Linked DNA regions of Struthio camelus. Each later gene encodes a partner of the first gene's protein in a complex. Links are inferred from orthologs where the notes say so. Each region holds a gene or a part of one and is shown in the gene's direction. Other genes may lie near its edges.

Region 1 (7,114 bases):
CTGGATCTCCAAGTTAGTCCTGACCTACAGCACCCCTCATAATGAAGAAACATGTTTTCTGGGGAGATCACTGTACCTCACAGTGCCTGTTTTCTAATGTGAATCCAATGCTATTTATGTAACGGTATGTTTGCATGAATGTTCATGTCCCACACCTGTGGTATGTGATGCCATTGTGAAGATATATTCATGTGGTCCACGTACCATGCGGTGGCAATGCAAGCCCATGGGCCTTCCAGAGCATGCAGATCCCACTGTGCCTGTGCCTGGGGGCCATGAAACGCACTCTGACAGAGCAGGGTAAAGTCAGCACGTGTTGGATGCTGAATTATGCACTAGAGCCCACAGAGAAAAGCCACACCATGCCAACCGGGGGCACACCTCACACTGAACACACAACAGACCTCCACTTCAGCTTACTCCCTCTTCAGCTGCAGCTGGTCCCCTGTGTCATCTCCTGGTTGCAATACCCCTTGAATTGCCAGAGAAAGGTCCAATGAGACCTTAAACTTTGTCTCTCCATTCTCCTTCCAAAGTCCCTTTAAGTTAGCCTCATTCTTAATAGACCCATTCACAGCTCAGATGACGATTCTCTTTGCTTTCTCTTGTGAAAAGCATGGTAGGTGGAATCCCCCCCTTTTTTATAGATCACATTTCCTACGTGGTTGCCCTTTGTTCACACATCAGAAGTTCTGTCAGGCAACACAAAAGACATGTGGTGAGTAACTAGCTTTCTAAGGAAACTGGAGATGGTGGTGAGGGGAAGGAAGGGGCTAACGTAAATGCAGCAATGAGAATGGTACTGTGAGCACGTCAAGCACAGACTGAATTTCAGCACCTAGTTCCTTCCAGGAAGATTTCAAAGCAGTTTACCAAAAAAAGGTGGAAACTACAGCATGGAGAGACACATGACTTAGTCGCAAGTGCCGTTGCAAGGCAATAGTTAAAGCAATGTCTCCACAGTCCATCGTCCTATTCTGCTAGGGCACAACCACTGAAAATGAGGGGTTTTCTCAGCAGCCACGTGGGAAGAGCTGGGAGCAGGAATGGGCAGCAAGCATTCGTTTCCCGTCACTCTTGGACCTTCCAGGGACAGGAAAGCCAAGGAAAGAAATGGCAAAGAGGAAGGAAAAAAGCAAAACAGAGAAAGACCTTGTGCACCCTGCCTTACAGATGAGACCTGGCTGCTGGGGAGAGAGGATGCAGCTGGGTTAACACCTGACCCAGGACTGAGATATTTTGCTTTCCCTGCTGAGCTGGATAACATTGAGCCCACTTTAATGTCCTCCCCAGGGAACTCTGGTCATCCTCAGCTCAGGTTTTAATGTAGTGGGGAATAATCTTTCCCTCTCTGCAGCATGCTGAAGGCCATGTCCCTTCAACAGAAGATTGGGAATAGTACAGCTAGAAGATTTTGGAGGGCACAGTTGGGAATGTGGAGTGAAGGGGAGAGAAGCGAAGGTAGCGCTGGGAGGAGGCCAGTGACTACCCAGAAATGAGGTGCTCTGGACAGTTGAAAATGAAGAATGGGAGTCGTTGAGAATGAGGTGACAAACTGAGAGCAGGCAGGAGTGACCAGGACCCTGCGTTGAGGGGGACAGCAGGAAGCGGATGACTGGAGGATGATGGTTACACAGGGCAGCTGGCTGCAGGCAGCTGGAGAGAGAAGCCAGAGAAGGGGGAGGCTGTAGCAAAGTCACTGGCTGGGTGGGTGGATGAGGGAAAGTGAAGTGAAAGGAGGAAAAAGAGGAAGGAAAAGGACAAAACTGAGACTACCAGGGAGAACTAGATGAGAGGCTGAAGCAGCACTGAAAGGAAGCACAGGTAGCCCTAGGGGATGCCTGTCTGTTCTGACACAGTTCTGACTTCCAGCAAGGGATGGCCTGGGTTTGGAAGGTCATATTACTGTCAGGAAAATAGCCTTTACTCTTCTTTCATTCACCCCCTTTATCATTGCACCCCATGATTTTAGGTGCATCTCGCTGTTTGGCCCAGAAGGCAGACACAAGTCATCCTTTCCCAAGCTTGGCTGTCGTTATCTTTTCTGCTGCACAACCATGATTTTCTCAATCTATGACTTAGTCCGGTTTTCTTTGGTATACTTTACTGGTAGGAGTTCATCAGTTTCTCACAAAGGAGGCACCCAAAATTTGTTTTAATATTTTGGCCCTGACCTCTTTGTTTTTAACTCTCTCCTTCACTAAAAGGCAACAAATGTTCATTTCCCTTTTGGAAGAACATTAAACCTTTTGAAGGAAAGCACAAGTACTGTTAACAGTTTCCTTATGCAGACAAGAAGCACGCAATGAGAAAGGTTGGCAGGATTTTCATTTACTGAAAACTACTTAACTCCAAGAGGAATTGTAGGAGCTTGGGAGTCTTCTGCATTTCTGAAGATGAGATTCTCAGAGAACTGTGTCAAGCCAGCAAAGATCTCTTGGTTTTAAAACTTGGACTAGAGCTCAAGAATTGCTGGCTTTTGTTTCTATACTAAGACCACTAAGATGTGCTTCTTGGATGATTAGATGAATTTTATGCAACCACATCCTGCTCTCTTTTGATAAATGCTTTTTTTATAAAGATCATGTGGAATAACTCACATGGAATTTATCTCCTTGTGGGCACATCCCCTATATAAGGTGCAAACATTAATACTCATCACAGATTTTGAAGAAGGAGGGTCCTTGCAGTAAACAGGCAGTGACATTTTCTCATGTTAAGCTCAGCTAACAGTTTCCTCATTCATCTCTTCCTTTTTCTTTTTTTAAACTTAAAATTATTGTTAAGAAAAAGCATCAGAGCACTGAGGGAAGAAATCAGTAGGTGCCAAAGTCAAGGAGATGTAATAAAGGGAGATAAAAGAAATGTTTAATGTAACTATTGCATAGGCACTTGCATGTATATATGTGATTTCTGCAATATAGTCTATAAGTGGCCACATCAAGAGGAGCATGACACAGATGTACCATATTCGCAGCTGACCTACGTAACTCGCGTATGCGAGTTTTTCAGTCAGATGTGTCCTTACGTCTTCAGACAACAACCAACATGTCAGTGGGCTGCTATACGAGAGCAGTCTGATTTGACCAATATGTAGGACTAAGACTTCTCTGGATAGATTTGAACGACTGTATCAATAATCAAAGACAACGATCTTTTTGCCTTTAATATTATGGACCAGATCTTCAGTCAGTGTAGGCCTGTGGAGGCAGTGGAGTGCCATGCTGGTATTCGGTGGTGCGTTCGCAGGTTAATTTCTGCTCGTGATGCACAAATGGTAAAACAGAATCAACCGTCCTCAGGGGCGGTTCACACCAAGAGGGGATTTTCAATCCTTGCTTGTCCCTCAGCTTATTATTTCTCTATCCCACACGTAAACGTTTGCCATCCTTAACAAAGTATCCCTAGGAGAACCTTTAAACACTTTAAAGTGCTTTGTTTCTTATTAAGCTACGAGATGATAGAAAGTGCTGCTGGCTCTGTCTGCTTATGACCCCCGCGTGAAACTCGGCACGTTTTTCCAACGTGGTGGCACATCTCTTTGCAGAGGAGCGGACAGGAAGCGCATGCCAAATCGTTCAGAAGGTTGTACAGAAACGATTCTCTTTTTCTACCAAGAACAAAAACTGCTGAGCTGGCAGGCTCCATCCTGCACCCTCTGACCGAGGGCTGAACCCCCCCGCAGCCGCTTGCGCTATCCGCTTCCTGGAAGAGGCGCCGGGCCGGGCCGCCACCATGGCCGAGGCGTGCGTCCCTGCGCCCGCGCACCGGTTTTGGGGGGGGGGGGAAGGCCGGGCCTCAGTTTCCCTCAAGGGAGCACAGACTTCGCCTGCGTTTGCGGCTCTGGCAGCCGTGAGCGGCAGCAGCGTTCAACACGTCTAACCGCCGCCTCCGCCCTCCCGCCATTTCCTGTGAGGGCCGCTCGTGGGCGGGGCTCGCGCCGCGGTCACGTGACAGTCTGGGGGAGCCCTGCGGGTGAAGGGCGGGAAGAGGGGCGTCACGTGACGAAGGCCGCTCGCGGCGGCCGCAGGGCGGCAGCGGCGGCGGCGCCCACAGTCACGTGAGAGGGCGTGCCCGGCGGGAGCGGGGGGGGGAGGTGTCACATGGCGGGGCGGGGCGGCGGACGCGCATGCGCGGGCAGAGAGCGGGCTGCTGCGGGCCGGGCCGGGCTGGGCGGCCGCTCCCCTCGTTGGCAGTGCTCGCTAAGATGGCGGACTTCCTGCCGTCTCGCTCCGTGCTGTCGGGCTGCTTCCCCGGCTGCCTGCTCACCAGCGGCGAGGCCGAGCAGCAGCGCAAGTCCAAGGAGATCGACAAGTGCCTCAACCGCGAGAAGACCTACGTGAAGCGCCTCGTCAAGATCCTGCTGCTGGGGGCGGGCGAGAGCGGCAAGTCCACCTTCCTCAAGCAGATGCGGATCATCCACGGGCAGGACTGGGACCGGGCGGCCCGCGAGGAGTTCCGCGCCACCATCTACAGCAACGTGATCAAGGGTGCGTGAGGGCGGCGGCGCCCGCGGGGACGGGACGGGGCCGGGCCCCGCTGTGGGGTGTGTGTGGGGGGGGGGGTCGCGGCGCCATCCCGCACGGGCAGCGCCTCCCGTTCCCCCCCCTCCCCCCTCCACACACGCACCCGGGGCGGCGGGTGGCCCGGGCCGGGCCCGGCGGAGGAGGGGAGCAGCGGCGCGGCGCGGCGGCCGTTGCCGGTGGAGGGAGGGAGGCCGGCAGCGAGCGGCGGGGGGACGGGCGGAGCGCGCACCTGGCTGCGGGAGGGCGCGGCGCCGGCAACCGGGCTGACACATCCACTCGGAGGAACCCCCCCCCCCCCCCCCCGCGCAGAGCCCCGTTGGGAGCCGCGGTGCCGGGAGCCTGCGCACATGGCTGAGGAGCCGACCGCTGACTTCCCCGCTGTCATCCGCGTTTGCTCCCTCTTCCCTCCATCGCTGCCTTTGCTCGCCTGGCTTTCGAGCTGGACTGTGTCGCGTCCGAGCGAAGCCTTGACTAAGTCGCTCAACATAGCGAAGCGCTGTAAGACCCCCGGCCCCGAGTTTTGGGGAGGGGGGGGGGCTTGGGTATTTTGTGGCCTAAGTCCTGCTGATTCTGAAAGAGAATTGCTTTAGAAAACTATTTATAAACCAAGCCTATTTATAAATAGCAGGGTAGTAGCAATTATGAGCAGGTACATTAACCTTATTATGGTCTATTAATAAAATCAGGTAACTTTTACTCTGTAAAAGCACACAGGCAAGAACTGCAAATCTTACTTTGTAGCTACGTTCCTGCAGTCATAGGTTTTGACAGATGGAAAAGGCAGTGATTCTTGAAAAGATGGTACTGACGATGTTGAACCAGTGTGTTGTTATAGAGCCAGCTGTTAGTACATCTTGATTCCTTATGCCTCTCCCGTGCCTTTATGGTTGCTTGTTCTTTCTTCTGGAGTTTTCTTTTTATTTTTGTTTTTTTCCCTCACCATCATTAAATCTAGTACCAGAATTTATTTCCTTGCATTTGCGTTATCATTGCGTTATCAGCCTTGGCACAACACGATTTTTCTTTTCTTTCTTTCTTCCTTTTTTTTTTCCTTTGAAGTCCTGTGTAAAGCAGGTTTAAAATGTTCAGCTTCTACTAGAGAATATTTACTGTTGCAAAAAAGAAAAAAAAGTGTGACAATGTTTAGGTGATAAGATCCCTTCTGCACTTAAGAAGTAAAGACGTAAAATTTAGAAGTTGTGGTTTTAGTAAATGTTTCCTTCATAGCTCTGAAAATATTAATAGCAGTGGCTACTTTCTGCAAGTAGGTATAAGTAGATACCAAGCTCATTAGAATACAATGACTAGGAAACCTTAAAATAAGGCCTCAGATAGTTAAATATATTCTGAAATGAGCTTTTAGACGTGCTTCATTTGTCTTATTATTCCCGCCAGGTCAGTGTAACAGCCAGAAAATGGTTCTGGGGATCAGAAAAAAAAGTGTAAATATCTGTTAAAGAGTTTTGATAGCACGGATTTACTCACTAAAAGTAGTGCTTCTGCGAGAGTTGTACTGGTACTATGGATATTATGGTCGTGATCAGGGCTGTGTTCTTCTGGTAGCAAATATCTCAGGGGCTACTTGAAAATTTAATGCTTTGAGTCAATTTTGCAGACATTTCATTATTTCTTACTGTGTGGTTAGTCCTATTGAACTCTGACTGCACACGGAGTAAGTGCATTGTTCAAGTCTTTACAAACTTGTAGGCTAGTGAAACAGTAGATGCTGAGAAATTCTAATTGCGATGCTCTTTCATGTTGTTGAAGGTGTGAGAGTCCTCGTAGATGCCAGAGAGAAACTTCATATTCCTTGGGGAGATCCCGCCAACCAGAGCAATGGAGATACGATGATGGCTTTTGATACGCGGTCAGTCACAGTGGTGCAAGGAATGGTGGAGACAGCGGTTTTTTTACAGTACCTTCCAGCTATCAGAGCGCTATGGGCAGATAGTGGTATCCAGCATGCGTATGACAGGCGCAGAGAATTCCAGCTGGTAAGATTTGCCTTTCAGTGTTTTTAGTTGAGCGTGTATGATGTCTTGTATGATGTCTTGTTCCTATATTGCTTTTCAATGAAACGCTGATCAAGCAGCCTCCATGTGAATGTTAAGCGTGTTTGAATGGTTGAGTGTTACACTACGGTATTGTAAACAGATGTGTTTAACTCCTTTTTTCTTTTTTTAAACCAAGAATAATAAAGAGCTCTGACACAGTTGTCCTCGTTTCATGTGTGAGAGAACTGAGACACAGAGTTTTTAATTCCGTAACTAAGCTAGGAGCTGATGGCTAGAAGCTGTGTAGTGTGTTTACCATATGATTATTCTGACCCCTTGTTAAATAGTGTATTGGCATTAAAAAAACATTGGATTACAATAAAGAAAGGCTTAATAGTATTGTGATTTTTAAGAAAAGATATGCATGGGTTAATCAGAAGAATTTAAAAACCACTCCCTTCTCAATTCCAATTTGAGCTATCTTGCAAGCATTCCCTGTGTATACTTCCTGTTTAAATTTAAACGTGTATGTTAATTCTCATGTAATGAGGTTTTTGTTATATTGAAGTTCTCAGCTGAAGATGGAGTACACAG
Region 2 (7,217 bases), on another chromosome or scaffold:
GCCCCAGGACCCCCCGCACCCCCCCAACTCTGGGGACACCCGGCCCTGTCGTGTCACCCTCAACCCCAGGACCCCCCGCACCCCCCCAACTCTGGGGACACCCGGCCCTGTCGTGTCACCCTCAACCCCAGGACCCCCAGACCCCCCATCTCTGGGGACACCCGGCCCCATTGTGTCACCCCCAGCCCCAATACCCCCAGACCCCCTGACCCTGGGGACATCCAGCTCCATTGCGTCACCCCCAGCCCCAAGACCCCCAGACCCCCCGGCCCTGGGGACACCCGGCCCCGTCGTGTCACCCCCAGCCCCAAGACCCCCAGACCCCCCGGCCCTGGGGACACCCGGCCCCGTCGTGTCACCCCCAGCCCCAAGACCCCAGACCCCCCGGCCCTGGGGACACCCGGCCCCATCGTGTCACCCTCAGCCCCAGGACCCCCTGCACCTCCCAGCCCTGGGGACACCCAGCCCAGGACCCCCAGACTCACGGCTCGGGGGCGCCGCAGCGGCGGTGGTGACGCTGGTGGCGGTGGCAGCGGTGGCGGCCGGGCCGTCGCGGGGCCCCGCGGGGACGGACAGAGCCTGGGGGCAGAGGGGGTCGTGAGCGCGGGCACAGGCCGACCTCTCACCCCTGACCTTTGCCCTTGGCCCTCTGACCCCCGCCCCACCCCCACCTCTGACCCCCCCGGGCATCTTGACCCATGACCCTGCCCCGCCCCCTGAAGATCACCTTGGCCTTTGACCTCTGACCCCTGCCCTCCACCTCCACACCGGTGTCACCTTTAACCCCTGATCCTGGCACTCCTCGACCTTCGACCCCTGACCCCGGGCACTCTTCTGACCCTACACATCTCCTCGACCTTCGACCTCCGAACCCCAGCGCTGCTCTGACCCGGCCCCTAAACATCACCTCGACCTTCGACCCCTGACCCCGGGCACTCTTCTGACCCTACACATCTCCTCGACCTTCGACCTCCGAACCCCAGCGCTCCTCTGACCCGGCCCCTAAACATCACCTCGACCTTCGACCCCTGACCCCGGGCACTCTTCTGACCCTACACATCTCCTCGACCTTCGACCTCTGACCCCCAGCGCTCCTCTGACCCGGCCCTAAACATCACCTCGACCCCTGACCCCTGACCCCGGGCACTCTTCTGACCCTACACATCTCCTCGACCTTCGACCTCTGACCCCCAGCGCTCCTCTGACCCGGCCCCTAAACATCACCTCGACCTCTGACCCCTGACCCCGGGCACTCTTCTGACCCTACACATCTCCTCGACCTTCGACCTCTGACCCCCAGCGCTCCTCTGACCCGGCCCCTAAACATCACCTCGACCCCTGACCCCTGCCCCCGCCTCCACACCGGTGTCACCTTTCACCCCTGACCCCGGCGCTGCTCTGACCTCTGACCCGGCCCCTAAGCATCTCCTCGACCCCTGACCTCTGACCCCCTGACCCCCGACCCCCGGCCCCGCCCTCACGCGCGCGGCGGCCCTGGCGCAGGCCGCGGCCCGGGGCCCCGCCAGCATCATGGCGGCCTGGGCGGGTGCCGGCCGGTCCGGTCGGGTCGGGTCGGGTCGGCAGCGCCGGGACCGCGCGGCGGCGGCGCGCGGCGATGACGTCACGGGGTGGGCGGCGCCCGCGCGCTCCGGAGCGTCACTTCCGGCGGGAGGGAGGCGGAAGGTGTTTGTGGGGGAGGGGGGGGGAGGGGAGGGGAGGGGAGGGGAGAGAGGAGGGAGGGGGAGAGGGAGGAGGGAGGGGGAGGGAGGGGGAGGAGGAGGAGGAGGATAGAGGGGGAGAGGGAGGAGGAGGATGGAGGGGGAGAAGGAGAAGGATGGAGGGGAGAAGGAGAAGGATGGAGGGGAGAGGGAGGAGGAGGATGGAGGGGAAGGAGGAGGAGGATGGAGGGGGAGAGGGAGGAGGATGGAGGGGGAGAAGGAGGAGGATGGAGGGGAGAGGGAGGTGGAGGATGGAGGGGGAGAGGGAGGAGGGGGATGGAGGGGGAGAAGGAGAAGGATGGAGGGGAGAGGGAGGAGGAGGATGGAGGGGAAGGAGGAGGAGGATGGAGGGGGGAGAGGGAGGAGGATGGAGGGGGAGAGGGAGGAGGATGGAGGGGAGAGGGAGGTGGAGGATGGAGGGGAGAGGGAGGAGGGGGATGGAGGGGGAGAAGGAGGGGGAGGATGGAGGGGAGAAGGAGGAGGAGGATGGAGGGGGAGAGGGGGGGGAGCCGGGCTGGGAGGGGCCGGGAAGGAGGGCGGCCAGCGGCGGAGCTCAGCCCGGCCGCTGCAGGCCGGGGGGCCGGGGTCCCCCCTCTCCCGGGGCTCCTTCCCAGGTTGGGGGGCTCCAGGGGGGCCGGGGTCCCCCTCTCCCGGGGCTCCCTCCCGAGTTGGGGGGCTCCAGGGGGGCCGGGGTCCCCTCTCCCGGGGCTCCTTCCCAGGTTGGGGGGCTCCAGGGGGGCCGGGGTCCCCCCTCTCCCGGGGCTCCTTCCCAGGTTGGGGGCTCCAGGGGGGCCGGGGTCCCCCTCTCCGGGGCTCCTTCCCAGGTTGGGGGGCTCCAGGGGGCCGGGGTCCCCCCTCTCCCGGGGCTCCTTCCCAGGTTGGGGGGCTCCAGGGGGGCCGGGGTCCCCCCTCTCCCGGGGCTCCCTCCCAGGTTGGGGGCTCCGGGCGCCCCCCCCAAGGCTCCCTCCGAGGTTGGGGGCTCCGGGGGCTCCGGGCGCCCGGATGCGCCGTCCCCGCCGCGGCCCCAGGCTGAGGGCGACGTTCGTCCCGGCGCCGAGCCCGGCCGGGCCGGGGGCAGCCGGGGCCCAGGCGTCCGGCCGCGCCGGCGGGGGGCCGCGGCCAAGGGGCTGGGGCGCCGCTGCCGCCGCCGCCTGCTTCCAATTAACGGTGCTGCCGGCCGGGCCGAGAAACCCGAGCTGAGCAGGGGCCGCTGGGGGGGCGGGGGGGGGCCGGGCCGGAGCCCCCCGCCGGGCTGGAGCCCCTCGCCGGCGTCCTGGGGGGTCAGCTGGAGCCCCCCGCCGGGCCGGAGCCCCCCACCAGCATCCCGGGGGGCCCAGGGGGGCCAGGCCAGAGCCCCCCCGCCGGGCCGGAGCCCCCCGCCGGCGTCCTGGGGGGTCAGCTGGAGCCCCCCGCCAGGCTGGAGCCCCCCGCCGGAGTCCCGGGGGGCTCGGGGGGGCCAGGCCGGAGCCCCCCGCTGGGCCGGAGCCCCCCACTGGTGTCCCACGGGGCTTGGGGGGCCAGGCCGGAGCCCCCCGCCAGGCTGGAGCCCCTCGCCGGCGTCCTGGGGGGTCAGCTGGAGCCCCCCGCCAGGCTGGAGCCCCTCGCCGGCGTCCTGGGGGGTCAGCTGGAGCCCCCCGCCGGGCCGGAGCCCCCCACCAGCATCCCGGGGGGCCCAGGGGGGCCAGGCCGGAGCCCCCCGCCAGGCTGGAGCCCCCTGCCGGCGTCCTGGGGGGCCAGGCCGGAGCCCCCCGCCAGGCTGGAGCCCCCCGCCGGAGTCCCGGGGGGCTCGGGGGGGCCAGGTCGGAGCCCCCCGCCGGGCCGGAGCCCCCCACTGGTGTCCCACGGGGCTTGGGGGGCCAGGCCGGAGCCCCCCGCCAGGCTGGAGCCCCCCGCCGGCGTCCTGGGGGGTCAGCTGGAGCCCCCCGCCAGGCTGGAGCCCCCCGCCGGAGTCCCGGGGGGCTCGGGGGGGCCAGGCCGGAGCCCCCCGCCGGGCCGGAGCCCCCCACTGGTGTCCCACGGGGCTTGGGGGGCCAGGCCGGAGCCCCCCGCCAGGCTGGAGCCCCCCGCCGGCGTCCTGGGGGGTCAGCCAGAGCCCCCCGCCGGGCTGGAGCCCCCCGCCGGTGTCCCGGGGAGCTCGGGGGGCCGGCCGGAGTCCCCCGCCGGGCTGCAGCCCCCCACCAGGCTGGAGCCCCCCACTGGTGTCCCACAGGGCTTGGGGGGCCGGGCCGGAGCCCCCCGCCCGTGGCTCCGGGGCCGCGTTCCCCCGAGCCGGAGCGGGCGGGCGGCCGCTTGGCACCCGCCGCCCCCGGCCGCCCCCTTCGCCGGCCCGGAAAGCCCCCGGGTTTCCGTCGTCCCGGCCCGGGGAGAGGTGCGGGGCGGGGGGCTGCGGGGCGAGCGGCGCCCGGCGCCCGCCGCGGCCCCCGGGGAGGCGCAGGGCATCGCCCGCCCGCCGGCCGCTTTCGCTTCTCGCCGCCGGCGCAGGAAACCGCGGGGGGCCCCGGCGGAGGCCGCCGGGCCGGGTGACACGTCGACGCCGCCGGCCGGACCCGGCCTCGGCCGGGGAATCCTCCGGGGCTGCCCGCGCCCCCGGCCCCCCCTGGAAATACCCGGCGCGGGCGGCCGCCGGGCCCTTTCCCGAAAGGCACCGAGGTCGCGCTCGGCCCTGTGACGAAACCCGCTTCCCCCCGGCGCCGGCCGGGCCCCCGGCTCTGCGGAGAGGTGCGAGGAGGGACCGAGCCCTGGGGAGGGCCCAGGCGTCCGGGGGGGGGGCTACCCCAGCGCCCCCGACCTCAGTGCCCCGAGGGGGCCCAGGCGTCCGGGGCGGGGGGAGCGCCGCCTCCAGCATCCCCGACCCCAGCGCCCCCGACCCCTCCTCCCCGAGGGGGCCCAGGCGTCCGGAGGGGGGGGGGAGCACCGCCCCCAGCATCCCCAACCCCAGCGCCCCCGACCCCTCCTCCCCGAGGGGGCCCAGGCGTCCGGAGGGGGGGGGGAGCGCCGCCTCCAGCATCCCCAACCCCAGCGCCCCGGACCCCTCCTCCCCGAGGGGGCCCAGGCGTCCGGGGGGGGGGAGCGTCGCCCCCAGCATCCCCAACCCCAGCGCTCCCGACCCCTCCTCCCCGAGGGGGCCCAGGCGTCCGGGGGGGGGGGGAGCGCCACCCCCAGCATCCCCAACCCCAGCGCCCCCGACCCCTCCTCCCCGAGGGGGCCCAGGCGTCCGGAGGGGGGGGGGAGCACCGCCCCCAGCATCCCCAACCCCAGCGCCCCCGACCCCTCCTCCCCGAGGGGGCCCAGGCGTCCGGGGGGGAGCGCCGCCCCCAGCATCCCCAACCCCAGCGCCCCGGACCCCTCCTCCCCGAGGGGGCCCAGGCATCCGGGGGCCTGGCCCCCGCCGCCCCCGGACCCCTGCTCTGCCAAGGGGCCCAGGCGTCCGGGGCCCGGTCTCGGCGGGCGCGGGGCGGGGATGGCCCCGGCCGCTCCACCCACCCGCCCGCGCTGCACATGTTGCAACCGGCCGCCGGGGCCGGGGCGCGGGGCCGGCGGGCAGCAGCGTCGCCGCCGCCGCCGGTAAGATGCCGCCGCCGTGCGCGGTCCCCGCGCGCCCTCGCTGCCGTCGGCGATGCCGCCTCCGCCCCCCCCCCCGTCCCCCCCCCTCCCGGGGACCGGGCGTCCGAGCCGCCGCCGGGGAGCGCTGGGGGCCGGCGCCGTCGTGGGGGGCGCGGCGGGGCCGCGGGGGGCTCGGGGCTCCCGTGGGGGCGCGGCGGGGCCGTGGGGGGCTCGGGGCTCCCGTGGGGGCGCGGCGGGGCCGTGGGAGGCTAGGGGCTCCCGTGGGGGGCTCGGGGCTCCCCTGGGGGCGCGGTGGGGCCGCGGGGGGCTCGGGGCTCCCGTGGGGGTGCGGTGGGGCTGTGGGGGGCTAGGGACTCCCGTGGGGGTGCGGCTGCCCCGTGGGTCGCGGTCGCGCGTGGGCCCCGGGCGAGCGGGAGCGCGGCTGGAGCCAGGCCCAGACCCCCCGGCAGGCGGGGATGGAGCGGGGCCGCCACAGCCCCGCGCCCAGGCCCGTCCGGCCCCCCAGCGCCGCCGTCGAGGCCCCCCTGCGCCGGGAGCAGGCGCCAAGATTGGGGGGGGGGGTCCCGAAGGGCTGCTGCCGCCCCCTGAGCGTCGGCCCCGCGGTCCTGGGATGCGTCCGTCCCCCCGAGCGTCGGCCCCGGACCCCATCGAGTGTTGTCCCTTTGGTCCTGGGGTGCATCCGCCCCATTGAGCGTCAGCCCCACCGTCCTGGGGTGCGTCGGCCCCGCTGAGCGTCAGCCCCGGGCCCCCCCGAGCATCGTCCCCGGCGGTCCTGGGGAGCATCCGCCCCGTTGAGCATCGTCCCCGCCGTCCTGGGGTGCGTCGGCCCCACTGAGCGTCAGCCCCGGGCCCCCCCGAGCATCGTCCCCGGCGGTCCTGGGGAGCATCCGCCCCGTTGAGCATCGTCCCCGCCGTCCTGGGGTGCGTCGGCCCCAGGGCCCCCATAGAGCGATGTCCCCGGGGTGCTGGGGAGCATCGGCCCCGTCGGGGTCCTGGGGTGCATCCGCCCCACGGCCCCCACCGAGCGCCGGCCCCGGGCAGCATCAGTCCCGCCGAGCGCCCACCCGTGTCGCCCGCGCCGAGCGCCGGCCCGCGGCTCCTCCCGCGGCGCCCGGGCCCGCAGGGTCGAGCGAGCGCCTGACGGTCGGCCGCGCTCGAGGCCTTCGCCCGGCTCCTCCGTGCGGCGCGGCCCCGGGTGCCAGCACGCGTGAGCCCTCGCACAAGCCTGCGTGTGCCCCAGCGTGCCAGCACGCGTGTGCCCTTGTTTGCACAAGGCTCTGCGTGTGCCCCAGTGTGCCAGCACGTGTGCCCGTTTGCACAAGCCTCTGTGTGCACGAGCGTGCCAGCACACGCATGCCCCCATTTGCACAAGCCTCTGCGTGCACTGGCATGTTGGCATGTGTGTGCCCCTGTTTGCACGAGCCTCTGCGTGCACTGGTGTGCTGGCACACGTGTGCCCGTTTGCACAAGCCTCTGTGTGCACCAGCGTGCCAGCACACGCGTGCCCCCATTTGCACAAGCCTCTGCGTGCACTGGCGTGTTGGCACGTGTGTGCTCCTGTTTGCACAAGCCTCTGCGTGCACTTGCATGCTGGCACGTGTGCTTCTGCACAAGCCTCTGCGTGCACTGGCGTGTTGGCACGTGTGTGCCTCTGTTTGCACAAGCCTCTGCGTGCACTGGCGTGTTGGCACGTGTGTGCCCCCGTTTGCACAAGCCTCTGCGTGCACTGGCGTGTTGGCACGTGTGTGCTCCTCTTTGCACAAGCCTCTGCGTGCACTTGCATGCTGGCACATGTGTGCTTCTGCACAAGCCTCTGCGTGCACTGGCGTGTTGGCATGTGTGTGCCTCTGTTTGCACAAGCCTCTGTGTGCACTGGCGTGTTGGCACGTGTGTGCCTCTGTTTGCACAAGCCTCTGCGTGCACTGGCGTGTTGGC
Region 3 (7,646 bases), on another chromosome or scaffold:
GGCTATGGAAGTTGCTGAGATTAGCAAACCCTTTAGAGAAGAGGAGAGTGTTTTCATCTTAGTTCCATATTAGTTTTCATATCCAAAAAATCATGTTTGTACGATTGGTTTTACTGTAGCTTGCTTTTCTGCAGTATACTGAAAGAACATTGATAGTAAATGGGGAAAATCAATAATTTAGATCATTCAAAAAAGCAAAATCCCTCAGAGTAGCACTTTAAGCAGGAGATGAACTAAGTATAGTAAATACATGCCTTTGGACATAGACAAGGCATCATTGCTGCACTAGTCTCACCTCTGGAGATAGCTTTTGCTGTTGCTGTACATGCATGTTTGTGAACTTGTGAACAGTGGCACGAATGTGGTTTTCTGCATGGTGACTATCAGTTTACCTGTTCTTGCAGTTATCAGTTGCAGTTCAGATTTGATGATTGAGATCTTAATAAGAACACACATTTGGCAGCCACTGCCAATATTAGTCAAATCTCTTTATGATTTCTCTCCCCACCCTCATTCCTTTTGCCACTTAGTTCTAAAATAAGACTACAAAAGACAAGAATGTGTTATTTCCTATGGAATAAAGTCTTCAATATCATCTATAATGGGCTCAGATGTTCCTACTGAGAAATAACATGCAGAATGGCTTCTGGGTGTAAACTCCATTTGTGTTGGACTGAACGATAAACTTATTTCACAAGGTGGTTGAATGAAATTTTCATGGAGTTGCTTTTACCCAGAAGGGCATGGGAGAAATTAAGTAAGCCTACAAAAGAGAAATTGGCAAAATTTCAAAGGAGAAACTTTATCATTGTGAAACACATCTCTGTTACAGAAAATATGACTACCTGAATGGTGCCAAAAAATACGCAGTTAATATAGGCAGTGACTCTCTGGCAAATGAGACTTGGCTTAATCATATATTAAAACATGATGTATTTTTTATTATAGGATTAGCCGACTTCACATAAGCTTAACGTTCTGTTGCTAAACACTGAGGTTTAGCCTAGGTTATCAAAGATTCAATTAAATGCATTGTGTACCTACAAATCTTGAGTTGCACAAAAGCCTAAACTATTCTCGAAAAATGACGCTTTTTTTAGTGTCCAGGGTAAGATGTTCAAGGCACTATCACAATGATAGTAAATAGAAAATAAAAAGATAAATCCAGTAACTCTTGATCAGTAAGTGGCACCGAAGAACTTAAATGCATAATTTGTTGTATGACAGCTATGTGCTTGCTTGTATTTGGATCAGCCTCTTACCTTTTATTCTTTGCGAAAACATTAATCGGTTTAACATTACAACTGTAGCATGGTATAAGTATTTTATCTGACTAATCCTAAATTTTGTTGCCAAAAAGCTGGATTTTGTTTTCTGGCACCAACTCAGCAGCTTCACGTTTTCTTAATTAGAAAAATATTTTTGTATGATAACATTGGCCTTGTGAATTCACACCAAGATTTGTTTATTTGTTTCTTTCTCCAGTATGAACTGTTCTATTGTCCTTCTTGATATAATTGACTCAAAGGAAATCTCATGTGATATTTTCGTAAGAATGTGGCTTACTTTCTGACTTATTTTTGCCAAAATGTCTCTTACTATCTGTGGTGTCGTAGGCTGACTGTAGAACACTGGCCACTGCCTTCCTTAGATTCTTTTGTTAGATGGCATTGTGCAAATAACTTTTGTCTGATATTTCTTAACGATTAAGTGTTTTCATGGCTTTTGTGGTGCTTTGCTGTTCTGAGAAGTACTTGAGTCCCTTATCAGCAGTGATTCCTGTGCAGGTGGAGCCCTGACAAAGTCAGTGGGCCTGGTAGAGTGCTGTGCTCCTCATGAGGTAGCTTGCTACATCAGATCAGATATCTTCTGACTCAGCAGTCTGGTTGCGCTATTGAAGAATCTTCCTATCATTAATCACACTAATACAGATATAAATGCATACAGATTTTATTAGAACGATCTTTCACGCTAATAAAACATCCGTGCCTCTCCTGTATCATACTTTCTTTCAAAGGCAATATACGTTTTGCAGACAATTTTTAAAGCCTGTACAAAATCCTAGTGTAATGCTTTCTTAAAAGGTCTTTTATTATACTAAAATTGTTCCTTAAAATGCATGAAAGGGCTCTTTGGCTTTTTGGGTTCTTTTTTTTTTTTTTTTTTTTTTTGCTATGTGTTGGAAATCTAAAAAAAAATCGTATTTCAGATTTCACGCTGGATTTTTAGTGATGATTCTTGCCAAGGTTAATATCAGTTGACTCTCAGGAAGAAATGAATAGGGAGAATATGCAAATACATGAAAGATGTCTAAGGCCACCGATTGATTGGAAAAATACAGCTGGAACTGACCGAAAGAAGTAAATTCTCATCTTCAATCATGTAATTTGCATCTGTTTTCACTTTTCATTTACAGTGTAAACTATGTACATTATAACAATGAGAGCTAGTAAAGTAAACTCTAATTCTTTTGAGGTGCCTGAATAAAAGACATTGTATGCAACCTACTGTGACAGTGAAATATTTTCACCCAGTGCAGTTCATACTAACATTCTTTTGAGCGAGGGGACTGAAAGAGAAGAAATGAGAGGTTAGAAAATAGGAAAAAAACACAACACAAAAAAACCCCAACCCTTCGAACTGCAGCACTTTTGTTTTAAGTGCTGCCAAATGCAGGTTGAATCTGTCTGCCAGAATATGGGAACAGCTTCTTTCAAAAACAAAGTTATAGTCTTGGTGAATGGGGTGAAGCTAGCATAGACCAAGCCCTGGCTCCTTTGAAAGACTGAAATGAGCCGTGCAACAGAAGAGCTTTCAGTCTGCACTGTAGACACTGACACCTTCTAGTACTTGAGATGTAGCCAACAGGAAGAAAAGAGTTTTAACTCCCTTTCCTGTCCATCAACTGTACTGTGTACAGAATGCAGGAAGAAAGGATGTGAGATAGGGATGCGCAAGTCAAAGAAGGACAAAATGTACAAGGCAAACTGCTTCTCCATGAGTCATGACAGTCCAGTCATCAGCAAGGACAGGTTCTTTATGCTGTCCCTCATGGCATTTCAACCTTGTATGATAACTAGAGAGAGCATTTTGTTAGGTCCTTGGCCTTCCTGTTGAGTGTGACCTCAGTAAGAGGTTTCTAAATACAATGGCAATGCATTGCCATTGACTGAATATGTCAGATCAGGTCTGAGAGCCAGCACACGGCCATCCCGTTGCTGCAGTCTTGCTTAAGGCCTACTTCACAGGCTCTCATCAACAGTGAGGGCAAGAAACTCTTCTTGCGTATAGAGACACAATTCAATGTTGGAATAACTTATACGAAGAGAAGGGAGGGAAAAGCTTTGTTAGTCGTGACCCTGGTATCTGTAAAACCACTTCTGTTTTGGAGTTCTGTGAGTAAATAAATAATATCAATCTCCTGACTAAAATGGCTATACTAGTCACAAAGGTGTGTATTGAGAAGGTGGTAAGTATGGCAGAGGATCATGTTCTTGTTCCTTGTGGATGTGTAAATTTAATCAAACTGCCCATGTGATTATTTGAGTAGTTTCAAGAATACCTTAGAAGCTATGGAAGGATAGCTGAATTTTTCTCCTAAACTGTGTGGTGTGGGGGTTTTTTGCGTGTGTGCGAGCAATAGACATTAAATAATAGTACGTCAACTACTTTTCTGGAAGGTTCATGACAAGCCAGAAAAATTAGCACTAAAATTAAAAATTGCCACAGGTGTGTGTTAGTATCAACTGTAACCAGCTAGTTAATGCCTGTATTTTTGACCAGGGAGCCATTTCTATCCAGAATATTTATTGGAGTATTAGCAGAGGCTGTGATATTACAGAAATTTAAGATTAAATTTAACAGCTAGATTTTAAGCTGCTCCTTTCTAAGATGTTTTGTTAAACCCTTCAATCCCCGTTATGCGCTAAGTTCTTATTCATGAACTTAATGATTCCAATGAAAACAATGGAAGAAAACCGTACAAATTTTTTATTCTGTAGTGTAAGACAGATTCTGTTATTCTCTTTGCTTGTATTTACGTAGTTAAGATTACGTAGTAAGGATTTTTAACTTCAGGATAAATTTCAGGTATAGCATTTCATTAATTTTCTTCTTTAATAACATAATCATTCTGATTGAACAGGAGGTGAACAAAGGAAGCTGGAACTAAGTTAAGTTTAATTTTTCTCATGGTAGCTCACAGTTCACTTTTTTATTAAATAGGCACATGCTAGTTATTGCTGTGAAGTCATTGCAACTGAAGTACAAAATCTCCCCAACCTGTGTCAGAAAGATTGATCTTTATTTTTGTTAAACTCTTTGTTTGAAAACTTCTACCCCTACCCAGACCTCACAACAACTACCTTTCCCCTTCCTCCCTGCCATGGGGCATATAAAATCCCAGTGCTCTTTTTCTCTTTTTTCTCTTTCTCTATTGGTATGGGGTTGGGTGTTTTGTTTTGTTTTTTTTTTTTTTTGATGCAGATCATCAGGCTTTCTGTTCTGTTTGGGGACTTAAATCTACCTGTCAGCAAACGTCCTAGCTGCAGAGCAGCTCCTCCCCAGCCTTTGCTGCTCTCTGTTTGGCAGGGATAGAAAATTGAGAGGCCTTTCAGTGAGCTGCTGCCAGCACTGCGCTGTGTAGCAGAGCCTGCAGCGGGGCTTGCCGCTCCCCCCTCCCTCACTCAGGAGGGCACCAGGGGAGCTGGGTGGGAGAGAGATCCTGGAAGCAACCTGTCCAGGGGGCTTAGCATAGGCTGCCTGCAGTTATCCACACAGTACGTACAGAGCTTTGTGCTATTAGTGATGGGCAAGTACTTTAAATGAACGTTGTTTCATCTGCAAGTTCTTCAATAACTGACTGTAACGTCTTGTCTTCTGAGTGTTGGATTGGTTGATCCGGCTTGCATGCAAGATTCCCTGTACTACTTCTGGTCTGTGGTGGGAGCAGTGTGACTTTTCAGATCAGTTTCCAGGGAATCACACTAATAAATTCAGAATTTGATTCTGTAAATAATCTCTGTCTGCTTGCAATTTGCTGTTGCCACAAAAATTTCTGGCAGTGAACATGTTTGCTTGGATTCTCGCAATTGTTTTGGTAGGTATATTCTTTTCCTTGACAGGCCCTTCTTGGCAAATATTTCAAATTCTTGTTTTTCTCTTTTTACATTTTAGTTTTTCTCATGTTTTTTAGCTGCAGCTCTTCATTATTTCTAAGGTGGCTCTACTTGTTAGTACATGATGCAGAATTTCTGGATACAGAGGAGTTTCTGGCTATCTGTAACAATGGAAGGAGTAAGTAGTAAAACTTAAAGGGGGAATAAGCAAAAGTCAGGCCAGTTATAACTAAGTGGGAAACCAAATTTCACTTCCTACAAAAATTTGAAGTTCTCAGAGTTCTTTTATTGTGTAGGTCTACAGTCATGGCTACAATCCAAATACTTAATTTTTTCCCAATAGTGAACTTCTTACAATAACTAATTTTGGTAACATTCAAATATTCACGAGGCATGAATATCTTACTACTTCCTGAAATTAAATATGTTCTCTTCAGTCTTTGGAGCCCAAAGTCTTTAATCAAAGCCCAAAGGAGCTTCAGTCTTTGGAATCCAATCAACTAGACAATCACCTGCAAGGAACTAGATACCTTCAGACGCTTCAGAAGTTCGGTATACATCTGAGGAGCCAGCTGGGTAAATCAGGACCATGGTCGCTAGACAAACCTACTGGCCTTCCTGCTATATGATCTCTGTAGAGCGTCAATGGAAAATTATTTCATCAAAAAAGCAATAACCTTCTCTAGCCAACAGCCTAGTATGGAAGAAGTTGAGATTAAGAAGTAAGAAAGAGGGTTAATATGCTGGAAGGAGTAGACCTAAGGAAAGGGACCAGGTAAACATAGGCTGATACAGGAACCTGAAGGTATGAAACCAAGAGACACAAAATGGAAGGTCGAGAGAAAGGGTAGCTGAAACACCTAAGAGTCAGAAGACAGCCATAGATTGTCAGTGGTGTGCATGGAAGCAGAATTGTGCGATATCTTTTTCTGTAGATCAACATCTTGTATATCCATGCATTTTAGGTAGAGAATGCTTTGCTGCTTGAGTAGGTGTCTGGGGCTGAAAACAAGATCTAACTTATACTTCTAAGCTATAGAAGATATACCTCTAAGCTAAAAAAACGATAAAATAATTTGAATTTTGCTGAGATGTTAGCATGGTCTGATTCAGTTTTCTTAAGTTCTAATGTTGCTTACCTCAAGTGTATATGGCTTGTGTGAGGATAAAGAAGGAGCTGAAATGGGAATGCAGGGAAAAGATGAACAGGGATGGAGAGCTTATCAAAATTTGTTTAAAATATATTGTTTCAATTTTTTCATTAAGAAAGTAAAGAACTTGGGAACTTGTTTTCAGAAACAAGATATTAACACAGAAGAAAAGAGTAAATGAATATATTAACCAGTTCTAGCTGTCTTTTTTTAACATATAAAATAGTGGTTAATGCATGTGATAGAGTTTAGAATGTAGTAATTGTGAGGCTTTTATTAAAAAATGTACTTAAATTTGTTTAACTTTGATAAAAATAAAAGGGAATGGAAGTACAGTGGCTTCTATAGAAGTTTGGGAGTCTTTTCTCAGCTTGTCCGGTAGTTTTGCTGTGTAGCTTTGAATAAATCAATCAAATGGTTAGTGCCTCAGTTTCCCCATCTTGATAGAGACATAATAAACCTAATCCCTCAGAGTACCAGGTGATCTTAATTAGTTTTTATAACTCGTATTTCTTAGGCAGAAATACAAACTTATTTTAATATAAATTTTTAGATCTCCTTCAAAAACTTCATTCCCAAATCTGTTATTCTTATGGGTTTGAAATATGAACACTTATCCTGGCTTTGTTTCTTCTCTAAGCGTGCAGATCACTAAAAACAGCGATCTCTTTAGTCTGTTTGCTGAACCACATTGACTTGTTTCCACTTGCTCCTCTAGCTGGCTGGTGTTAGGACCCTGAAAAGAGACAGCAGCAACGTGATATAAATAGAGTACCAGAATGGGACAAAGTTTGAGAAGAAAGCATGACATCACTCAGACTTGCTCTCCACCCAAAAATGATCTGAGATGGAGGTGCAAAAGTGAACTGGACAAGCGAGGAGTTAACAAGTCATTTTAGTCCAGTTCCCGAGGAAACAGTTATACGCCCTACACGCTATAAGGAAGTACACTTTCTTGCTAGCAAAACCAAAACTGGCTTCAGATTTCTGACAACGTGAAAGTAATTGAAAGGAAAAGACAACTATAGAAAGAAAGTTGAAAACGGATCTTTTTGTTTGGCATAGATTATAACAGAAATATTTGACTTCTTTCCATGGAAGAATACAATTTTTGGATCTGATGCACGTTTCTTATAATCTTGCTCCAATCATGGTAATTTATTTACGGATAAATGAAGAGATCAAAGTGTGAAGCAAGTAGTTATTCCTTAAAGGATCTGGAAGAATATTTTGCCATTGCTGAAGGAACAGAATTCTTGAACCTGCATGGAAAATGTCCCTTTTAATACAAAAAGGAGCAAAGGAAAATTTATGACTGAAACATTACAGGAATTTGATCTCTATTGGTCTTTTAACCTTAAAAAGACCATGAAGAATT
Region 4 (7,302 bases), on another chromosome or scaffold:
TAGTGGAGGTGCATCGTTAGGGGAGGTGCATCCTTGGGTGCATCCTTGGGTGCATCATTAGTGGAGGTGCATCGTTAGGGAGACGCATCGTTAGGGAGGTGCATCCTTGGGTACATCCTTGGGTGCATCATTAGTGGAGGTGCATCGTTAGGGAGACGCATCGTTAGGGAGGTGCATCCTTGGGTGCATCATTAGTGGAGGTGCATCGTTAGGGGAGGTGCATCCTTGGGTGCATCCTTGGGTGCATCCTTGGGTGCATCATTAGTGGAGGTGCATCGTTAGGGAGACGCATCGTTAGGGAGGTGCATCCTTGGGTACATCATTAGTGGAGGTGCATCGTTAGGGGAGGTGCATCCTTGGGTGCATCGTTAGGGAGACACATCGTTAGGGGAGGTGCATCCTTGGGTGCATCCTTGGGTGCATTGTTAGGGGAGGTTTGTCATTGGGTGCATGGCTGGGTGCACCCTTGGGTGCCTCGTTAGCGAAGGTCATCGTTAGGGAGGTTCGTCGTTGGGCGCATCGTTGCGGGGGGCAGCCGTGGGCGCGGGGTGGGACTGGGTGCTCCAGGGGTCGGGGCAGCACCGTGGGGGGGGGGGCCCAACACCCTGCCGTGGGGCACCCCGTGCACCCGCCGTGGGGCACCCTGGGCTCCTCCAGCACCTGCCGTGGGGCACCCCACCCCCGTGCCCCCCCCCGGGGTGCAGGCATTGGGTTGGGTGCGGGGTGCAGAGACGGGTGCAGGGACCAGGATGGGTGCAGGGAAGGGTGCAGGGCTGGGTGCTGGGTGCAGGGACCAGGATGGGTGCAGGGAAGGGTGCAGGGCTGGGTGCTGGGTGCAGGGACCAGGATGGGTGCAGGATGGGTGCAGGGCTGGGTGCTGGGTGCAGGGAGCAGGAGGGGTGTAGAGCTGGGTGCTGGGTGCAGGGACCAGGATGGGTGCAGGGACCAGGATGGGTGCAAAGACAAGTGCAGGGCTGGGTGCAGGGAGCAGGAGGGGTGCAGCGAGCAGGAGGGGTGCAGGGAGCAGGAGGGGTGCAGGGAGCAGGAGGGGTGCAGGATGGGTGCTGGGTGCAGGGAGCAGGAGGGGTGCAGGGATGGGTGCAGGATGGGTGCTGGGTGCAGGGACCAGGATGGGTGCAGGAACCAGGATGGGTGCAGGACAGGTGAAGGGCTGGGTGCTGGGTGCAGAGACTCGTGCAGGGATGAGGATGGGTGCAGGGATGGGTGCAGGGCTGGGTGCTGGGTGCAGGGAGCAGGAGAGGTGCAGGCGTGGCTGCAGGGCTGGGTGCTGGGTGCAGGGAGCAGGAGGGGTGCAGGCGTGGCTGCAGGGCTGGGTGCTGGGTGCAGGGAGCAGGAGGGGTGCAGGGATGGGTGCAGGATGGGTGCGGGGTGCAGGGAACAGGAGGGGTGCAGGATGGGTGCTGGGTGCAGGGAGCAGGAGGGGTGCAGGGATGGGTGCAGGATGGGTGCTGGGTGCAGGGAGCAGGAGGGGTGCAGGGATGGGTGCAGGATGGGTGCTGGGTGCAGGGTGGGGGTGCAGGGCTGGGGCCGGGGGGGGCGGAAGTGGGTGCAGGGCCACACGCCAGTGCTGCACGGCACGGCACACGGCTGCACACGCCATGGCGCACACACGCACACGGCTGCACACACGCCACGGCTGCACACGGCTGCACACGGCTGCACACGCACACGGCTGCACACGCACACGGCGCACACACACACACGGCTGCACACGGCTGCACACGCACACGGCTGCACATGCCATGGCTGCACATGCACACGGCGCACACACACACACGGCTGCACACGGCTGCACACGCACATGGCTGCACACGCACACGGCTGCACACGCACACGGCTGCACACATGCACACACGCACACACGGCTGCACACACGCACACGGCTGCACACGCACACGGCTGCACACATGCACACACGCACACACGGCTGCACACATGCACACGGCTGCACACGCACATGGCTGCACACGGCTGCACACGCACATGGCTGCACACGCACATGGCTGCACACGCACACGGCGCACACACGCACACGGCTGCACACGGCTGCACACAGCTGCACACGCACACGGCGCACACACGCACACGGCTGCACACACGCACATGGCTGCACACGGCTGCACACACGCACATGGCTGCACACGCACACGGCTGCACACGCACACGGCTGCACACGCACATGGCTGCACACGCACATGGCTGCACACGGCTGCACACACGCACATGGCTGCACACGCCATGGCTGCACACGCACACGGCGCACACACGCACACACGCACACGGCTGCACACGGCTGCACACACGCACAGGCCCGCACATGCCACGGCTGCACACGTGTGTGGCCTGGGCCCGGCCCGGCACTGCCCTCTCGCTCGCGCGCACCCCGGCCCCTGCCAGGGCTGGGGCAGCCCCCGGCTCGGCCTGCTCTGGGGGGGCCTCTGCACCCCCAGCCCCCTCAGCCACCCCCCAGCCCCTCTGCAGCCCCCAGCCCCATTGCACCCCTCTGCAGCCCCCCCAGCCCCTCAGCACCCCCAGCCCCTCTGCACCCCCCAGCCCCTCAGCCACCCCCCAGCCCCTCTGCAGCCCCCAGCCCCATTGCACCCCCTGGCCACCCCCAGCCCCCTCTGCACCCCTCTGCACCCCCAGCCCCTCTGCACCCCCAGCCCCCTCTGCACCCCCAGCCCCTCTGCACCCCCCAGCCCCATTGCACCCCTCTGCACCCCCCAGCCCCCTCTTCACTCCCAGCCCCTCTGCACCCCCAGCCCCCTCTGCACCCCCAGCCCCTCTGCACCCCCCAGCCCCATTGCACCCCTCTGCACCCCCCAGCCCCCTCTTCACTCCCAGCCCCTCTGCACCCCCCAGTCCCATTGCACCCCTCTGCACCCCCAGCCCCTCTGCACCCCCCAGCCCCATTGCACCCCTCTGCAGCCCCCCAGCCCCCTCTGCACCCCCAGCCCCTCTGCACCCCCCAGCCCCCTCTGCACCCCTCTGCACCCCCAGCCCCTCTGCAGCCCCCCAGCCCCATTGCACCCCTCTGCAGCCCCCCCAGCCCCTCAGCACCCCCCAGCCCCCTCTGCAGCCCCCCAGCCTCATTGCACCCCTCAGCCACCCCCCAGCCCCATTGCACCCCCTGGCCACCCCCCAGCCCCCTCTGCACCCCCCAGCCCCCCCTGAAGCCCCCCAGCCCCTCTGCACCCCCCCGAGCCCCATTGCACCCCCTCTGCACCCCGCAGCCCCTCTGCAGCCCCCCCACCCCACTGCAGCCCACAACACCCCCTGCACCCCATAGCACCCAACCCCTCCTGCACCCCCTGTGCCCCCATCCCGGACGCCTGGGTCCCCTCCAGCCTCCCCAGCCGCTGCCTCAGGCGCCGCCGCTCTATTTGCATAGCCACGCCCCCTTCCCTCGAGGGGGCGGGGCCTCCCCCCCCCCCCCAAACCAGTGACACCCCCCCCCCCCCCCGGTGACTCCCGTCCAGCACCGAGGGGGTTACCGGAGACCGGACCCCGGGGAGATGGGGGGGGGTTACCGGGGGGGGGCACCGGGGCGGGGGGGCGGCCGGTGCCGGTGCCCCCCCCCGTGCCCCCCCCCGCTCCGCCCCCCCCCCCCGGGGCCGCCCAGCGCCGCCAGAGCCCGAGCGGCAGCGGCGGCCGGAGGCGGCTGCACCGGGGGCACCGGCACCGGGCTGAGCCGGGGCCGAACCGGGGCACCGGGGGCACCGGGGGCACCGGGGGCACCGGGGGAACCGGCACCGGGCTGAGCCGGGGCCGAACCGGGGCACCGGCACCGGGACTGCACTGGGACACCGGCACTGGGACACCGGCACCGGGCTGCACTGGGCTGAACCGGGACACCGGCACCGGCACCGGGACACCGGCACTGCGACACCAACACCAGCAGCAGGACACCGGCACTGGGACACCATCACCAGCACCGGGACACCGGCACCGGGACACCAACACCAACACCAGCACCAGGACACCAACACCGGCACCGGCACCAGGACACCGGCACCGGGACACGGGCACCGGGACACCAACACCGGCACCGGCACTGGGACACCGGCACCGGGACACCAACACCAACACCGGCACTGGGACACCGGCACCGGGACACCAACACCGGCACCGGGACACCAACACCGGGACACCAACACCAACACCGGCACCGGGACACGGGCACCGGGACACCAACACCAACACCAGCACTGGGACACCGGCACCGGGACACCAACACCAACACCGGGACACCGGCACCGGGACACCAACACCAACACCGGCACCAGGACACCGGCACCGGGACACCAACACCGGCACCGGGACACGGGCACCGGCCGCGGGAGGAGCCGCCCAGGGCCGGGGCGCCCCGTCTGCACCGGGGGGGGGGACCGGCCCCGACGGGGACACGCGGTGAGTGGCACCGCAGCCGGGCCGGGTCACCGGGGGGGGGGGACCGGCCGCGATGGGGACAGGGAAGGGACGGTGGCAGCGGGACAGAACCGGGCACATGGCCGGTGGCACCGGGAGGGGAAGGGGGACACGATGAACGGCATGGGGACCGGGGACGTGGCCGGTGGCACCGGGAGGGGGGGGACCGGCCGCGATGGGGACAGGGAAGGGACGGTGGCAGCGGGACAGAACCGGGCACATGGCCGGTGGCACCGGGAGGGGACCGGGGACACGGCTGGTGGCACTGGGGTGACACAACCACTGGGACAGGGACCGGGGACGCGGCCGGTGGCACCGGGAGGGGACGGGGGACACAGTGAACGGCATGGGGACCGGGGACATGGCCGGTGGCACCGGGAGGTGACCGGGGACGTGGCCGGTGGCACCAGGAGGGGACCGGGGACACGGCCAGTGGCACTGGGGTGACACAACCACTGGGACAGGGACTGGGGACGCGGCCGGTGGCACCAGGAGGGGACGGGGGACGCGGTGAACGGCATGGGGACCGGGGACGTGGCTGGTGGCACCGGGAGGGGACCGGGGACACGGCCGGTGGCACTGGGGTGACACAACCACTGGGACAGGGACTGGGGACGTGGCCGGTGGCACCGGGAGGGGACCAGGGACATGGCCAGTGGCACCGGGAGGGGACCGGGGACATGGCTGGTGGCACCAGGAGGGGACCGGGGACACGGCCAGTGGCACTGGGGTGACACAACCACTGGGACAGGGACCGGGGACGTGGCCGGTGGCACCAGGAGGGGACGGGGGACGTGGCCGGTGGCACTGGGGTGACACAACCACTGGGACAGGGACTGGGGACGCGGCCGGTGGCACCAGGAGGGGACGGGGGATGCGGTGAATGGCATGGGGACCGGGGACGTGGCCGGTGGCACCGGGAGGGGACCGGGGACGCGGCCGGTGGCACTGGGGTGACACAACCACTGGGACAGGGACCGGGGACGTGGCCGGTGGCACCAGCACTGCGATAGGGTCAGGGAGGGGACCCGGGACACGGCCGCCGTGGGGACGGGGACTGGGGACACGGCCAGTGGCACGGGGATGGGGAGGGGACATGGGCACTGCGGGGACAGGGACGGGCAGGAGCAGCCTGGGGACACCAGGACAGGGATGGCCTGGGGGCCACCGGCACCAGGGACTTGGGGACATCGGGATAACGACTGGGGGACGCTGGGGCGACAGGGCTGGCGGTGTCACCCCCGGCGTGGCCGTGTCACCCTCGCGGTGGCTGTGTCACCCCCGCTGCAGCCGTGTCACCCCACAGCGGCCCTTGTCACCGCGCTGTGGCCGTGCCACCGTCACCGTCCCCAGGCGGGCGGGGGGGGGGGGACACCGGATCCGGCCGGGCTGGAGCCGTCGGAACAATTCCCCAAATTGGCATCAGCGGCAGCAGCCGGCCGGCGTCACCGTCCCTGTCACCGTCCCCATGGGCAGCCAGGCACGGGGACAGCGACAGCGGGGGGGGACGGGGAGGGCTGAGCCGGGGCGGGGGGTGAAGCCGGAGGGGGGAGCTGAGCTGGACAGGGGGGTCGCTCTGCCCCCTCCGTCCCCTTAACTCTGCCCCCTCCGTCCCCTTAACTCTGCCCTTCTGTCCCCTTCGCTCTGCCCCCTCCATCCCCTTCGCTCTGCCCCCCTCCGTCCCCTTCGCTCTGCCCCCTCTCGCTCCTTCGCTCTGCCCTTCTGTCCCCTTCGCTCTGCCCCCTCCATCCCCTTAACTCTGCCCCCTCCGTCCCCTTAACTCTGCCCTTCTGTCCCCTTCGCTCTGCCCCTCTCTGTCCCCTTCGCTCTGCCCCTCTCTGTCCCCTTTGCTCTGCCCCCTCTCGCTCTTTCGCTCTGCCCCTCTCTGTCCCCTTCGCTCTGCCCCCTCTGTCCCCTTCGCTCTGCCCCCTCCGTCCCCTTAACTCTGCCCCCTCTGTCCCCTTAACTCTGCCCTTCCGTCCCCTTCGCTCTGCCCCTCTCCGTCCCCTTAACTCTGCCCCTCTCCGTCCCCTTAACTCTGCCCCCCTCCGTCCCCTTCGCTCTGCCCCTCTCTGTCCCCTTTGCTCTGCCCCCTCTGTCCCCTTCGCTCTGCCCCTCTCCGTCCCCTTCGCTCTGCCCCTCTCCGTCCCCTTAACTCTGCCCCTCTCCGTCCCCTTAACTCTGCCCCCCTCCGTCCCCTTCGCTCTGCCCCTCTCTGTCCCCTTTGCTCTGCCCCGTCTGTCCCCTTAACTCTGCCCCCTCCATCCCCTTCGCTCTGCCCCTCCCTCCCTTAACCCCGCTGCAGCCCCCAACACCTCCCATCACCCTCTCCCCCTCCACCCCACCCCGCCAGACCCAACGCCATGGGCCCGCCGTGACGCCCCCGTCGCCTCCGCCGTCCCCGCCGCCCGACCATGGGCAACGGCACGGCGCCGGGCTGCCAGGTGGACGCCGACCTGGACCACCTGCTGCCGCCCTGCCTCTACGCGGTGGCCATGGGCGCGGGGCTGCCGGCCAACGGGCTGGCGCTGTGGGCCGCCCTGCGCCAAGTGCGCCAGCGCAACGAGCTGGGCGTCTACCTGCTCAACCTCTCGGTGGCCGACCTGCTCTACCTGGCCGCCCTGCCGCCCTGGCTCCACTACTTCTGGCACCGTGACAACTGGCTGCACGGCGCCGGCGCCTGCAAGCTCTTCGGCTTCGTCTTCTACGCCAACATCTACGTGAGCATGGCCTTCCTCTGCTGCATCTCGCTGGACCGCTACCTGGCCGTGGCCCACCCGCTGCGCTTCGGCCGCTTCCGGCGGGTGCGCACGGCGGCGGCCGTCAGCGCCGGCGTCTGGGCGCTGGAGGCGG

What was found.
Region 2: the proteins of GNA13 (region 1) and S1PR2 are in contact, whole or in part, in a cryo-EM structure (PDB 7T6B), measured with the Homo sapiens proteins. The link is inferred for Struthio camelus from reciprocal best matches to the Homo sapiens genes GNA13 and S1PR2. Residues at the interface, in NP_006563.2 of Homo sapiens: Arg47, Val216, Phe359, Lys363, Asp364, Ile366, Leu367, His368, Asp369, Asn370, Leu371, Gln373, Leu374, Met375, Leu376, Gln377; in NP_004221.3 of Homo sapiens: Ser66, Met68, Tyr69, Leu72, Arg130, Ala133, Ile134, Lys136, Val137, Lys138, Leu139, Tyr140, Tyr209, Ile212, Val216, Ser219, Gln227, Thr228, Leu231, Leu232, Val235, Tyr288.
Region 3: the proteins of GNA13 (region 1) and ADGRD1 are in contact, whole or in part, in a cryo-EM structure (PDB 9V0U), measured with the Homo sapiens proteins. The link is inferred for Struthio camelus from reciprocal best matches to the Homo sapiens genes GNA13 and ADGRD1. Residues at the interface, in NP_006563.2 of Homo sapiens: Val49, Val216, Phe218, Phe359, Val362, Lys363, Asp364, Ile366, Leu367, His368, Asn370, Leu371, Gln373, Leu374, Met375; in NP_942122.2 of Homo sapiens: Asn599, Arg601, Leu657, Met660, Val661, Ile662, Val664, Phe665, Ser667, Val737, Ile738, Ile741, Ala761, Val764, Asn810.
Region 4: the proteins of GNA13 (region 1) and GPR4 are in contact, whole or in part, in a cryo-EM structure (PDB 9JHP), measured with the Homo sapiens proteins. The link is inferred for Struthio camelus from reciprocal best matches to the Homo sapiens genes GNA13 and GPR4. Residues at the interface, in NP_006563.2 of Homo sapiens: Arg47, Pro341, Tyr343, Phe359, Lys363, Asp364, Ile366, Leu367, His368, Asn370, Leu371, Lys372, Gln373, Leu374, Met375, Leu376, Gln377; in NP_005273.1 of Homo sapiens: Gln45, Asn50, Arg115, Ala118, Val119, Ala120, Pro122, Leu123, Ala126, Ile204, Val208, Ser211, Val212, Ser213, Thr214, Glu218, Lys221, Ile222, Leu225, Asn290, Glu291, Gly292, Ala293.

Annotation. Positions count from the first base shown.
Region 1 is NC_090960.1:3,531,829-3,538,942, reverse strand, and holds the start of GNA13 (guanine nucleotide-binding protein subunit alpha-13), read left to right. Parts: upstream 1-4,101; 5' UTR 4,102-4,129; coding exon 4,130-4,490; intron 4,491-6,293; coding exon 6,294-6,520; intron 6,521-7,114. UniProt on the Homo sapiens protein: Guanine nucleotide-binding proteins (G proteins) are involved as modulators or transducers in various transmembrane signaling systems.
Region 2 is NC_090972.1:4,939,681-4,946,897, forward strand, and holds the start of S1PR2 (sphingosine 1-phosphate receptor 2), read left to right. Parts: upstream 1-4,200; 5' UTR 4,201-4,436; intron 4,437-5,267; exon of another isoform or gene 5,268-5,282; intron 5,283-7,217. Other genes in the region: MRPL4 (large ribosomal subunit protein uL4m), read right to left, coding at 486-579, 1,482-1,532. UniProt on the Homo sapiens protein: Receptor for the lysosphingolipid sphingosine 1-phosphate (S1P). S1P is a bioactive lysophospholipid that elicits diverse physiological effects on most types of cells and tissues.
Region 3 is NC_090958.1:14,127,929-14,135,574, reverse strand, and holds the start of ADGRD1 (adhesion G-protein coupled receptor D1), read left to right. Parts: upstream 1-4,631; 5' UTR 4,632-4,778; intron 4,779-5,194; 5' UTR 5,195-5,295; intron 5,296-6,986; 5' UTR 6,987-7,534; coding exon 7,535-7,646. UniProt on the Homo sapiens protein: Adhesion G-protein coupled receptor (aGPCR) for androgen hormone 5alpha-dihydrotestosterone (5alpha-DHT), also named 17beta-hydroxy-5alpha-androstan-3-one, the most potent hormone among androgens. Also activated by methenolone drug.
Region 4 is NC_090957.1:1,502,466-1,509,767, reverse strand, and holds the start of GPR4 (G-protein coupled receptor 4), read left to right. Parts: upstream 1-4,296; 5' UTR 4,297-4,431; intron 4,432-6,754; 5' UTR 6,755-6,863; coding exon 6,864-7,302. UniProt on the Homo sapiens protein: Proton-sensing G-protein coupled receptor activated by extracellular pH, which is required to monitor pH changes and generate adaptive reactions. Activated by an optimal pH of 6.8-7.2.